Linked DNA regions of Callithrix jacchus. The protein of the gene in region 2 interacts with the protein of the main gene of each other region in a pairwise test. Links are inferred from orthologs where the notes say so. Each region holds a gene or a part of one and is shown on either strand. Other genes may lie near its edges.

What was found. The genes of interacting proteins can lie anywhere in the genome.
Region 1: the proteins of LONRF1 (region 2) and CRX interact in binary tests that used the Homo sapiens proteins (3 or more experiments, as listed by UniProt). The two-hybrid records come from large-scale screens. The link is inferred for Callithrix jacchus from reciprocal best matches to the Homo sapiens genes LONRF1 and CRX.

What each region holds. Positions count from the first base shown.
Region 1 is NC_133523.1:41,741,486-41,746,409, forward strand, and holds part of CRX (cone-rod homeobox protein), read left to right. Parts: intron 1-570; 5' UTR 571-604; coding exon 605-704; intron 705-2,691; coding exon 2,692-2,843; intron 2,844-4,728; coding exon 4,729-4,924. UniProt on the Homo sapiens protein: Transcription factor that binds and transactivates the sequence 5'-TAATC[CA]-3' which is found upstream of several photoreceptor-specific genes, including the opsin genes.
Region 2 is NC_133514.1:28,999,405-29,004,915, reverse strand, and holds the start of LONRF1 (LON peptidase N-terminal domain and RING finger protein 1), read right to left. Parts: upstream 3,175-5,511; 5' UTR 3,110-3,174; coding exon 2,389-3,109; intron 1-2,388.

The DNA of each region.
Region 1 (4,924 bases), on a different chromosome or scaffold from region 2:
AAGAGACTGAGGCAGGATTTGAATCTCAGCCTGCATGCTGGAAATAGATGCTCGGTGCTGCAAAGAAAAATCAGCACTGAGACAGTGGATCTTCCGGCAAGCAATTTTTACTTCCTGGACTGCAGGAAGGGTACCCTCGCTAGCCACCTTGCCCCGAGAGTACAAAGAACAAAGGAAAACACACAAATTTATATCTTATGCATTTGGGGTCATCCTTACTGCTGTGTCTGATCTCCATTGGTTGGGGCCAGACCTCTCAATCTAAACTAAAACCTGATTGGCTAAAAACTTAAAACTTTTCTCAACAGGTAAAAGCAATGGAGAGCTGGGCCATGCCTGTGAGCACGTCCAGCACAGATATCCTGGTTAAAGTACAAGGATATAGAATGTACTGTAAGTGTGGCATGTCTGACAGCTACATAGCATAGGGCTTAACAGAGAGTTATTAGCACACGTACTCTTTTTCCAAGAAAGGAAACTTGAAAAAGGAACTTCTCTGCTTCCCACACCACATGTCACCACATGTGAGTAACTGGTAAGTGAGCGAGCATCCCTCCTCTTCTCTTGCAGGCCCCTGACTTGGGCCTCAGTGTCCCTGAAGATCATGATGGCGTATATGAACCCGGGGCCCCACTATTCCGTCAACACCTTGGCCCTCAGTGGCCCCAGCGTGGATCTGATGCACCAGGCTGTGCCCTACCCAAGTGAGTACATTCACTTCTCTTGGCACCCCAGGCTGGCCCCATCTCTTGGAGGACCTGTGGGTCCCTTTGCCTGCAGGAAGAAGGCAGTCACGGGGGCGACCTCACCATACACCAGCTCTCTGGGTTCATCTGAAATGCATGTCCCTTGGGAATGCAGGGAAGCACGGACAGTCCTAGAAATTTAGGATAGAGGTTCCTTTTAGGGCGGGGAAGAGGGGATGCAATCTGGAAGGGACAGCGAGGAATTTTCATCTGTTAGCAACACTTTATTATTCATTTATTTTTCAGAGTCAGGGTCTCACCCTGTCTTCTAGGCTGGAGTGCAGTGGTGTGATCATGGCGCCCCACAACCTTGAACTCCTGGGCTCAAGGGATTCACCCACCTCAGCCTCCAGGGTAGCTGGGATTGCAGGTGTGAAACATCAGGACTAGGCAGCAAAGCTTGTATGTGTGTATATATATATATATTTTATTTTTGAGACAGAGTCTCACTCTGTTGCTCACTCTGAAGTACAATGGTGCAATCATGGCTCACTGCAGCCTTGAACTCCTGGGCTCAAGCTATCCTCTTGCCTCAGCCTCCCGAATAGCTAGGAGTACAGGTACAGGCCACCATGGCTGGCTAACTTTTAAAATTTTTTTGTAGATTGTGCAGGATCTGGATTAATAAAACATACAAAAAATTATTATTTTTTTGTGAATATGGGGTCTCCCTGTGTTGCCCAGGCTGGTCTCAATAATCCAACTGTCTCAGCCACCCACAGCGCTGGGATTACAGGCATGAGCCACTGCACCTGGCCTACAAAGCCTTCTTTCTTTCTTTTTCCTTCCTTCCTTCCCTCCTTCCCTCCCTCCCTCCTTCCTTCCTCTTTCTTTCTTTCTTTCTTTCTTTCCTCTCTTTCTCCTTCCTTCCTTCCTTCCTTCCTTCCTTCCTTCCTTCCTTCCTTCCCTCCCTCCCTCCCTCCCTTCCCTTCCCTTCCTTCCTTCCTTCCTTCCTTCCTTCCTTCCTTCCTTCCTTCCTTCCTTCCTTCCTTCCCTTCCCCCTTCCTTCCTTCCTTCCTTCCTTCCTTCCTTCCTTCCTTCCTTCCTTCCTTCCCTTCCTTCCTCCCTTCCCTTTCCTTCCTTCCTTCCTTCCTTCCTTCCTTCCTTCCTTCCTTCCCTTCCCTTCCCTTCCCCTTCCTTCCTTCCTTCCTTCCTTCCTTCCCTTCCTTCCCTTCCCTTCCCTTCCCTTCCCCTTCCTTCCTTCCTTCCTTCCTTCCTTCCTTCCTTCCTTCCTTCCTTCCTTCCTTCCTTCCTTCCTTCCTTCCTTCCCTCCCTCCCTCCCTTCCTTCCTTCCTTCCTCTTTCTTTCTTCTTTCTTTTCTTTCTTTCTCTTTCTTTCTTTTCTTTTCTTTCTTTCTTTTTGACAGAGTTTCGCTCCTGTTGCCCAGGCTGTAGTGCAATGGTGTCATCTCAGCTCACTGCAACCTCCGCCTCCTGGGTTCAAGCGATTCTCCTGTCTCAGCCTCCTAAGTAGATGGGATTACAGGCGCCTGCCACCCCACCTGGCTAATTTTTATAGATCCTTATTTTTGAGTGAAGTGAGCACTCAGTTATTTGTAGTGTTATTCTTTAGCTGGTTTTTTTTTCCCCACTAAGTTGAGCGGTGTGGACTTGCTACTTTTATAGGCTAGAAATTGTTAATGTCATGCTTCAACTGAATGTGTCTTAGACGGTGCATGAGAGAGTTTCGAAGAGGGAAAATGACTGACACATATATTGGATGGATACACTGCCTTGTAGGGCTAAAGCCAGTTCCCCTTGGGGTCAGGCATGAGCCCTAGGATGCCAGGACAGGGTGAGGTGTAGGAGGGCAGGGAACGTGTATTCCACCCCTAGTTCAGCAGATGGCACCCAGGATGGAATTCTTGGCATCCCACCAGCCTCAGGGCCTCCTCATGGCAGCAGATGTGGATGATCTGAGGGTCCTGTTTCCCATCCCACCCCAGGCGCCCCCAGGAAGCAGCGGCGGGAACGGACCACCTTCACCCGGAGCCAACTGGAGGAGCTGGAGGCACTGTTTGCCAAGACCCAGTACCCGGATGTCTATGCCCGCGAGGAGGTGGCTCTGAAGATCAGTCTGCCCGAGTCCAGGGTTCAGGTGCGGTGGTGGGTCCCCGGACCCCTCCCGACCCTTCCTGTGACCTTCCATGGGCCCTCCCTGGACCCAGAGTGATGGGAGGAGGGAGAGATCACAGGGTTACAGCCACAGTTATAAAGGGGACAAAAATTCCTCCCTCCGCCATCCCACTGATTCCCCACCTCTTACTGCTCTCACCGCCCTCCGATCCTCTCCGGCCACGCTGGCCTCTGACCTGCCTGCTGGGCACCCCCCTGCCTGGGGCCTTTGCACTCAGTGTCCTCTTTCTGAAATGCTCATTTTCCAGATAACCATATGGCAGGCCCCATCGCCTTGTTTGCGTCTTTGCTTATCCATCAATGAGACGCACACTGACCACAGCATCTCACCCCTCGGTGTTTCCCCGCGACCCTGATTCCATGCTGCCCCTTACCCCGCTCAATTGTTTCTTCCACAGTATTTATCACCCTCTAAGATACCATCTGATTTATGTATCTACTGTTTATTTAGGCTCTGTCTCTCCCAACTAGAATGTCAGTTCCATGGATGGACCCTCAGAGTAGTAGAAGATGGTTAATGCACATTTATGAACTGACTGACTGATGGGTGGGTGGGTGGATGCATAGATGAATGTATGTATGTGTGACTGTATATGTGTGTGTGTGTATGTGTGATTGGAAGCGTGGATGAGTGTCTGTGCATGCATGAGTATCTGTGTATGATTAAATGGATACATGTATATATGTGTTTGCATGAATGCACATAGGTAAGATAGATGGTTGAATGTATGCATGCATGATGTAGGTATACATGATGTATGTACACATGTACAGTTGTATGTATGCATGCATGAATGGATGGATGGGTGTATTTATATATGAGTGTATGCATGTATATATGATTGGACAAAGTGTGTGTTGTAGGAGGGTATATATGTATGATTGGATGGATTATGTGTGTATAATTGTATATTTGTATGCTTGTATGATCAGATGAATGGATGAATGTACATATGATGTACACATGTATAGATAGACCATTAATACATGTGTGATGCATGTGTGTATGATGTATGTACATACAATTGTATAAGATGGATGAATGAACCTATGTATGATGTATGTGTGTACACTTGTATGTATCATCAGATGGGTAAGCGTCTGGATAATGTATGTGTGATCAGATGGACTGGTGAATGTGTACATGACATATACATGTATGAGGTATGCATGTACGCTCAGATGAATGGATGCATAATGAATGTGTATATGGCGTATGTGTGTATAATTGTATGCATGTATTTTGTATGATGTATGCATGATGTACACATGTGCACACATGTATGTATAATTGGATTGATAAATGAAATGTGTGTTGTATGTATGTATGATTAAAGTGCAGCTATGTATGATGTATATGTGTACAGTTTATGTGTCTATAATTGTATATTTGTATGTTCATGTGATCAGATGGATGAATATATGTATGGTATATGTATGTATGATCAGATAGATGGGTAAATGTATGCATGGTGTATGTGTGTATGGTGTGTGTATAATTGTATGTGTGTATTATGTTTGTATTGGATGGATGGATGTAGGTGTGATGTTCATGTACACACACATGTATGATTGGATGGATGGCTGTAGGTGTGATATATGTGTGTGTTCATGTACACAACATGTATGGATGATGGATGTAGGTGTGATGTATGCATGTGTTCACGGGCACATGCATGTATGAGTGGATGGATAGATGGATGAACAGATGCTCCACAGCTGGAAGCAAAGTAGAGAGATGTGACCCTGGCACCTCTCACCAATAAGCATCCTCATTCCTGGGAACCCTGCGGCTCTCCTAGGCCTCTTCCCCACTTACCCACCCCATCTCCCCTCTTGCTCCCCAGGTTTGGTTCAAGAACCGCAGGGCTAAATGCAGGCAGCAGCGGCAGCAGCAGAAACAGCAGCAGCAGCCCCCAGGGGGTCAGGCCAAGGCCCGGCCTGCCAAGAGGAAGGCGGGCACATCCCCAAGACCCTCCACGGATGTGTGTCCAGACCCCCTGGGCATCTCAGATTCTTACAGCCCCCCTCTGCCCGGCCCCT
Region 2 (5,511 bases):
ATGATTATAAAAATAGATTATGACTCTACTAGTTAATATTTTGATTTACACCCAAAAATTGTGAAACACTTATAAATTGGCCAACTCTAATTTATTAGCTCTAAGATTTTTTCCCGTTACTTCACATTAAGAATTCAAAAGATTAAAAAACGTATCCTCATTAGTGCTATTCAGACATTTTCAAGTGTGGAATTAATGATTCCTGAAAGAACTAAAAGTGAGGAAAAAATAAGCTAAGGAGGTGAAAGTCAGAAGACTTGGGTTCTATTCCTGCAAAAGTAGGATTCAGTTGCTAAGTGGGCAAAATTCCCATGTGCAATCTATGCAACTTGAAAAAAAGGAGAGATTACATCTTTCAGAGCCTTTTCCTGTTAAATATAATATCCTCGATTCAAGAACCAGAATCTCTGTTAACTAAAATATTACTGGTCACAGAATGTTAAGCTAGAACTCTATTAGCAAATGTGCTCACTGTTCTTCCATGGATGAGGACCTGGATTCTTGTGAAACACCCAATTTAAGGTCAAATCACTGAATCAGTAGTGAGTAGTATTGAATAGTACTGTCCATAAGTTTCAGCCTCAGTGACCAAAGAAACTTCCTTGGAAAGGTATACTAAACATTTTCATTGGATGAGCTATAGGCAAGATGAACCCTAAACCAACGTTTAGGAGAAGTGGAAGAAGATTCAGTGCTGCCTCTCAACCAGTTAACTGTATGACGGTGTACAAGTCTTCACTGCCTGGCTTCTGCTTCCCCCCTTCAAAAATCACACCATGGTCAGCGACTAGGTGGTCTGTACAGCGGAGTCCAGTTTCTCTTCTCTTTATTAACTCAGAGGCAGAGTCATCTGTATCAGAATTCTGTGTTCCACATACTTTTCTTTTGTTTTGAGCCCATCATTCTATAATTGCCTATTCCTCACAAAGGCGCTGAAAGAATACAAAAATCTCCGAGATTTGTGCTGCGAACTCTAATGGTAAAACTCAAGATCTTGACATTAGTTCAATATGACTAAGCACGTGGGGCAAAAGATAACCCGAAAGATGATCCTTTCAGTTACATAGGCTATACATTTACCTGTAATACCCAAAGTCAGTTGCTATTTTACATGTCTATTTTCTTGGGGATCATTCCCCCAACTATCATTTCACGCCAATGGACAGACACTGTAATCTTGAAATACGCTTAAAACAAGGGGCCTGATAGCCTCTAGGATATCTGAGCAGCTTCCCGCACCTCTCCCACTAGTTGTTGGGACTAGCACCAGCCCCACAAGAGGTGCAACCAAAAATGTCTCCAGATGCTGCTCTAGATAATGTCCCCTGAGAGAGGGGAGATAAAATCCCCCTGGTAGAGAACTACCGATTTAAAGAACAACTCTTTTATGTAAGAGAAACCTGACACTGCCCCCTTTTGGCACCTAAAACCACCTTAGGAAGGAAAGTGCTAACCTAGGTTAGGAGGCCGAGGCTGCTTCTTGGAGACTGAGAAATGCACTCAAGACCTACAAGGCCTTTCCTCACAGCTTGATCATGAGTGGAAAGGCCTAGAGAAGCGTGGCAAAGAACTCCGGATCTGGGAACCCCCCTCATCTTTACCATACACTAGGTGCACTGGAAAGTAGATAGGAAATAAGTATGCTCTGAAACAGGCCAGCTGAAACTTTCAAGAGGAGCCAGTCCAGAAATTTCCAGGTAGCAAGGGACCACCCAGGGCAGGTCCACCCGAAGTCCCAAGCTCGGCGGCCTGCGGGTCCTACCCGTGCTGGTTGCCCGCGCGGAGCTCCCGCCACGCCCACCGGACGTCACTCGTTACACAACGCCCCCCGCCCCCAGCTTACGCAATTCTGCCCTCCCGCGGCTCCCAATTTTCCCGGTGACTTCTGTGGGTGGGGAAGGGAGACGCCGCCTGACCGGCCTCGTTCCCCTCGCGGAGGATTCTCTCCCTGCCCTGGCAGTAATTTCCCCGCCGCGGGCCCAGCCCGAGAGTCAGTTCCCGGAAAGCGCGCGGCAGGAAGCGAGCGGACGCTGGGGCTCGCCCAGCTCCCACCCATCCCGCGCTGGGGCGGCCTCGGTCCCGGTCACCCACTCCGCGCCCGGCGCGCGCGCCCGACAGCCAGGCCGCGGTCGAGGGAACCCCGCGCTGAGCGCCCCTCCCCGCGCCGCGTCACAGTCGGCTTCCAGGGCGATCCCCATTGTGACCGAAGCACCCCGGGGCGCCGCCCCCTCCCACACCCCCCAGCACCCCAAGACCCGACACTCCTGTGGCCCAGCGGCCTCGGGGAAGCAGAGGAGCCTCCCGGGGTGCAGACGAGCTCCGGGTCCCGGGCCCTAGGGGCCAGAAGGGTGCGGTCGGCCGGGCCCCGCCGCATCCCCGCGCGGTCACCTGCTCGCAGCGCCTCGCAGGCGGCGGCCAGGGCCTCCCGGTAGCGCCCCTGGTGCAGCAACTCCCCGAGCCGGCCGGCTGCCCGGGCCCGCTCGCGCTGGCCTGGGAACCACTTCTCGGCCAGGTGGTTGAGGACGACGCTGGTTCTGAAGTCGGAGGCGGCGATGGCGGCGGCCAGAGGCGGCGGCCGCGGGGCAGTCCCTTCAGCATCGGTGGCACTGGCGGTGGCGGGCGGTAGCCGGTCCCGGCAGAGGCGGCAGCGAGCGCGGAACTCCCTCCGCAAGCAGCGGCGGCAGTAGCTGTGGCCACAGGGCACCGTCACCGGCTCGCTCAGGAAGCCCCGGCAGCCCAGGCAGCTGAGGAGCCCGCCGGCGCCGCCGTCCGCACCCGCAGTCGGGGCCGCGCTCCAGCTCAGCCCGTGGCGGAGCCGGTAGTTGAACACCAGGCAGTCCACCAGGACACCCAGGCACTCAGGCCTGGCCGGGGCCCCGCGGCGCAGCGCAGCCGCGAACGCCTCCAGCGCGCCCTTCAGGTGGCCGCCCAGCGCCAGGAGCTCCCCGCGGCGGAGCAGCAGCTCCCAGCGATCCGACTCCGCGACCGCGCGCTCCAGCCGGTGGCCGCTGCCGCCGCCCACTTCCCAGAACCGGCCTCGGCCCTGCGGCGCTGGGGCCATCTCCCGACTCCCTTCCGGGGAGCTCCTCGCCACCGCCGGAGAGGACATGGCCCGCGGAGGGCTGCTCCGCCGCCGCCACCGCCGCCGCCGCCGCCGCCCGCCGCCACGGTCCCGGAGCCTCCCGGGCGCGCGGCTCCGCACGCGGCCCGCGAGCAGGGGGGCGTGGCGCGCGGACACGGCGGGGCGGCGCGCGCCCGGGAAGCCCCGGGGGCGGGGCCTGGCGAGGGCGGGGCCCGCTTGGCGACTGCACCCGGGACTCCCTCACGCCGCCCGCGGCCGCGCTACCAAGGAGCCGAGCGCTGGGCCCCGCCCCTTCCGAGCCCGCTCCCAGCGAGAGACGCAGATCGGATGAATCTCCCGGCGGAGAGCTATCGGCTTTTCCGGAATGGAGGACTCGGCTCGTGACGGAACAAAGCCCGAAGAAGCAGGGAGCCTTAGACCCCGCTCGCCTGGCCGCCGACGTCCCCGGTCTGCGGTGGCCCGAGCCCCTGCCTGGTTGGAGGGCACTCCCCTGCCGCGGGGGACTTCGGGTCTCCACCCCTCTCCCGAGGCGCCCGCCCAGGCGGGACCTGCCCCAACTCTTGGCGGGCGGGATTCTCCTGGCGTGGCCTAGTGCTTGTCAGGTGCGGGTCTACATTTTCATTCGTCTGTGCCTGGGTTCCAGGTGGGCGCGCCTAAGCAGGGGGTCTAGGAGGGCACCGTAGCCCGATGACTCGGACTCTTCGGGTCTAGAGGCCTCAACTTTAAACTTGAACAAAAAACCCACGTTCCTGGGGCGACTTCCTCCAGAGGGTAAGGTGTGTTTCCTGGTGCCCGGTTGACTGCCTCCAGCCCTGCTTAAAGCTCATCCCCGACGCACCTCGAGGGAGAAAGCCCCCAGTTTCCTTAGGTGTCCCCACACCTCGAGAACTGCCCTACAGCTGGCTAAAGTCTATATTTGGCATTCGTAAAAGAAAACATCAAGAAAAATGTTTTTCACATGGCGGTCACCATATTACTACAACCAAAGCAGGGTCTGCAGCTTTGCCGACAGAAGAAAATGATAGGGTTGATATAAAATGGGTTCTGTTTTCCTTAAACTTCACAGCAGCAAATTTAAAGCTCTCCGCTGAAAATATTTGTAGATTTGATTATAGGATATTAGAATTAGGGGAGTCACTTAGAATTTTTAGTCCTTTTTCAAATCTTTGGAAACAAAGTTAATTGTTCAAAATCACAGAATCTAATAGATTTTAAGATCACGTCTATTCCACTATTAACTACGTTAGACTAATCATATGTAATAATTCATATGTAATATTTCATAGAAAATGAGGTTTTCAAAGTAAAGGAAGTTGCTAATTGGAGAGTTCATCTGAACATGCTATATCTGAAATTAGCAAAAGTTTACTATGTCTCTTTATAAGGAACAGAGGAGGCTAAAAGATGTTTTGAGTTAGTATGTTTTCCCTACACAATGAGCAAGTCGTGTAACTTCAGAAAAGATAAAGCTATATTACCCTAAGGGGAATGAATACAAAAGAGGTGCCTGAGAAAAAGCCAAGCCTCCTGTTCCAACAGGATGCAGACACAAACAAGTTCATTTATCATTCATACTGCACCTGAACCAAACTGCAGCCAGATCCAAAGAGCACCTCCTAAGCATTTGGCATGTGAAACATTTGGATTAATTCATGAGGATAACCTTAATTCCAATCCTAACCCCCTAAATTACTACCTTCCCGCAACAAGCAGAACAGTGACTTTCATCTGATGCCCACATATCCCTTGAGACCTGAAGTCACAAATAATATAACAAATACCTATGTGTATACGCACATTCATTTTGTGACGCATTCTTATTCTTAATGGCAACTTGCAAAATGTACAAGAGTAAATATTTAATCAATGCATTCATGTTTATACAAGGAGTATCATAAATTAATAACAACTCATAAACTTCTTTTCAAATATAAAGTCAGGTTCCATTATGGGATTTCTGCCAAAAGTACAATATGTGGTTCAGAAAAAAAAATGTGAAGTATTATTTGTCCTTTGGAGTTCCTTCCCCTAATAAATATGACAACCACATCTGATTGTGATGTGAAATAAAATGACACAATTATGATAATGTGTGGGAGAAAAAAAATGGGACTGTAGGAGGAATCTTGCAGTGTTCTCCTTGGCATTTGTGAATGGTTATAATTCATGTTTGCTGGTTTATACATTTACATAACTTGTTCTCATTTATGTAACTTATTTATGTAAGAGGCTGTACTGCCGCTGTGGCCTCTGTGTGCTGCATAACTTCCCTCTGAATCAGGAAGTCTAGGCAAAGTAGTCACTGGCACTGTCACAGGTCACTCTTCCATCATTCTCTGCTACCAAAAAGTTGCACGATGATGTGACTGCTAGTTGAATTCAAAGGCGAGAAGAGTTAGTATCCTTCTTCATTTATTTCCTAAAATTTA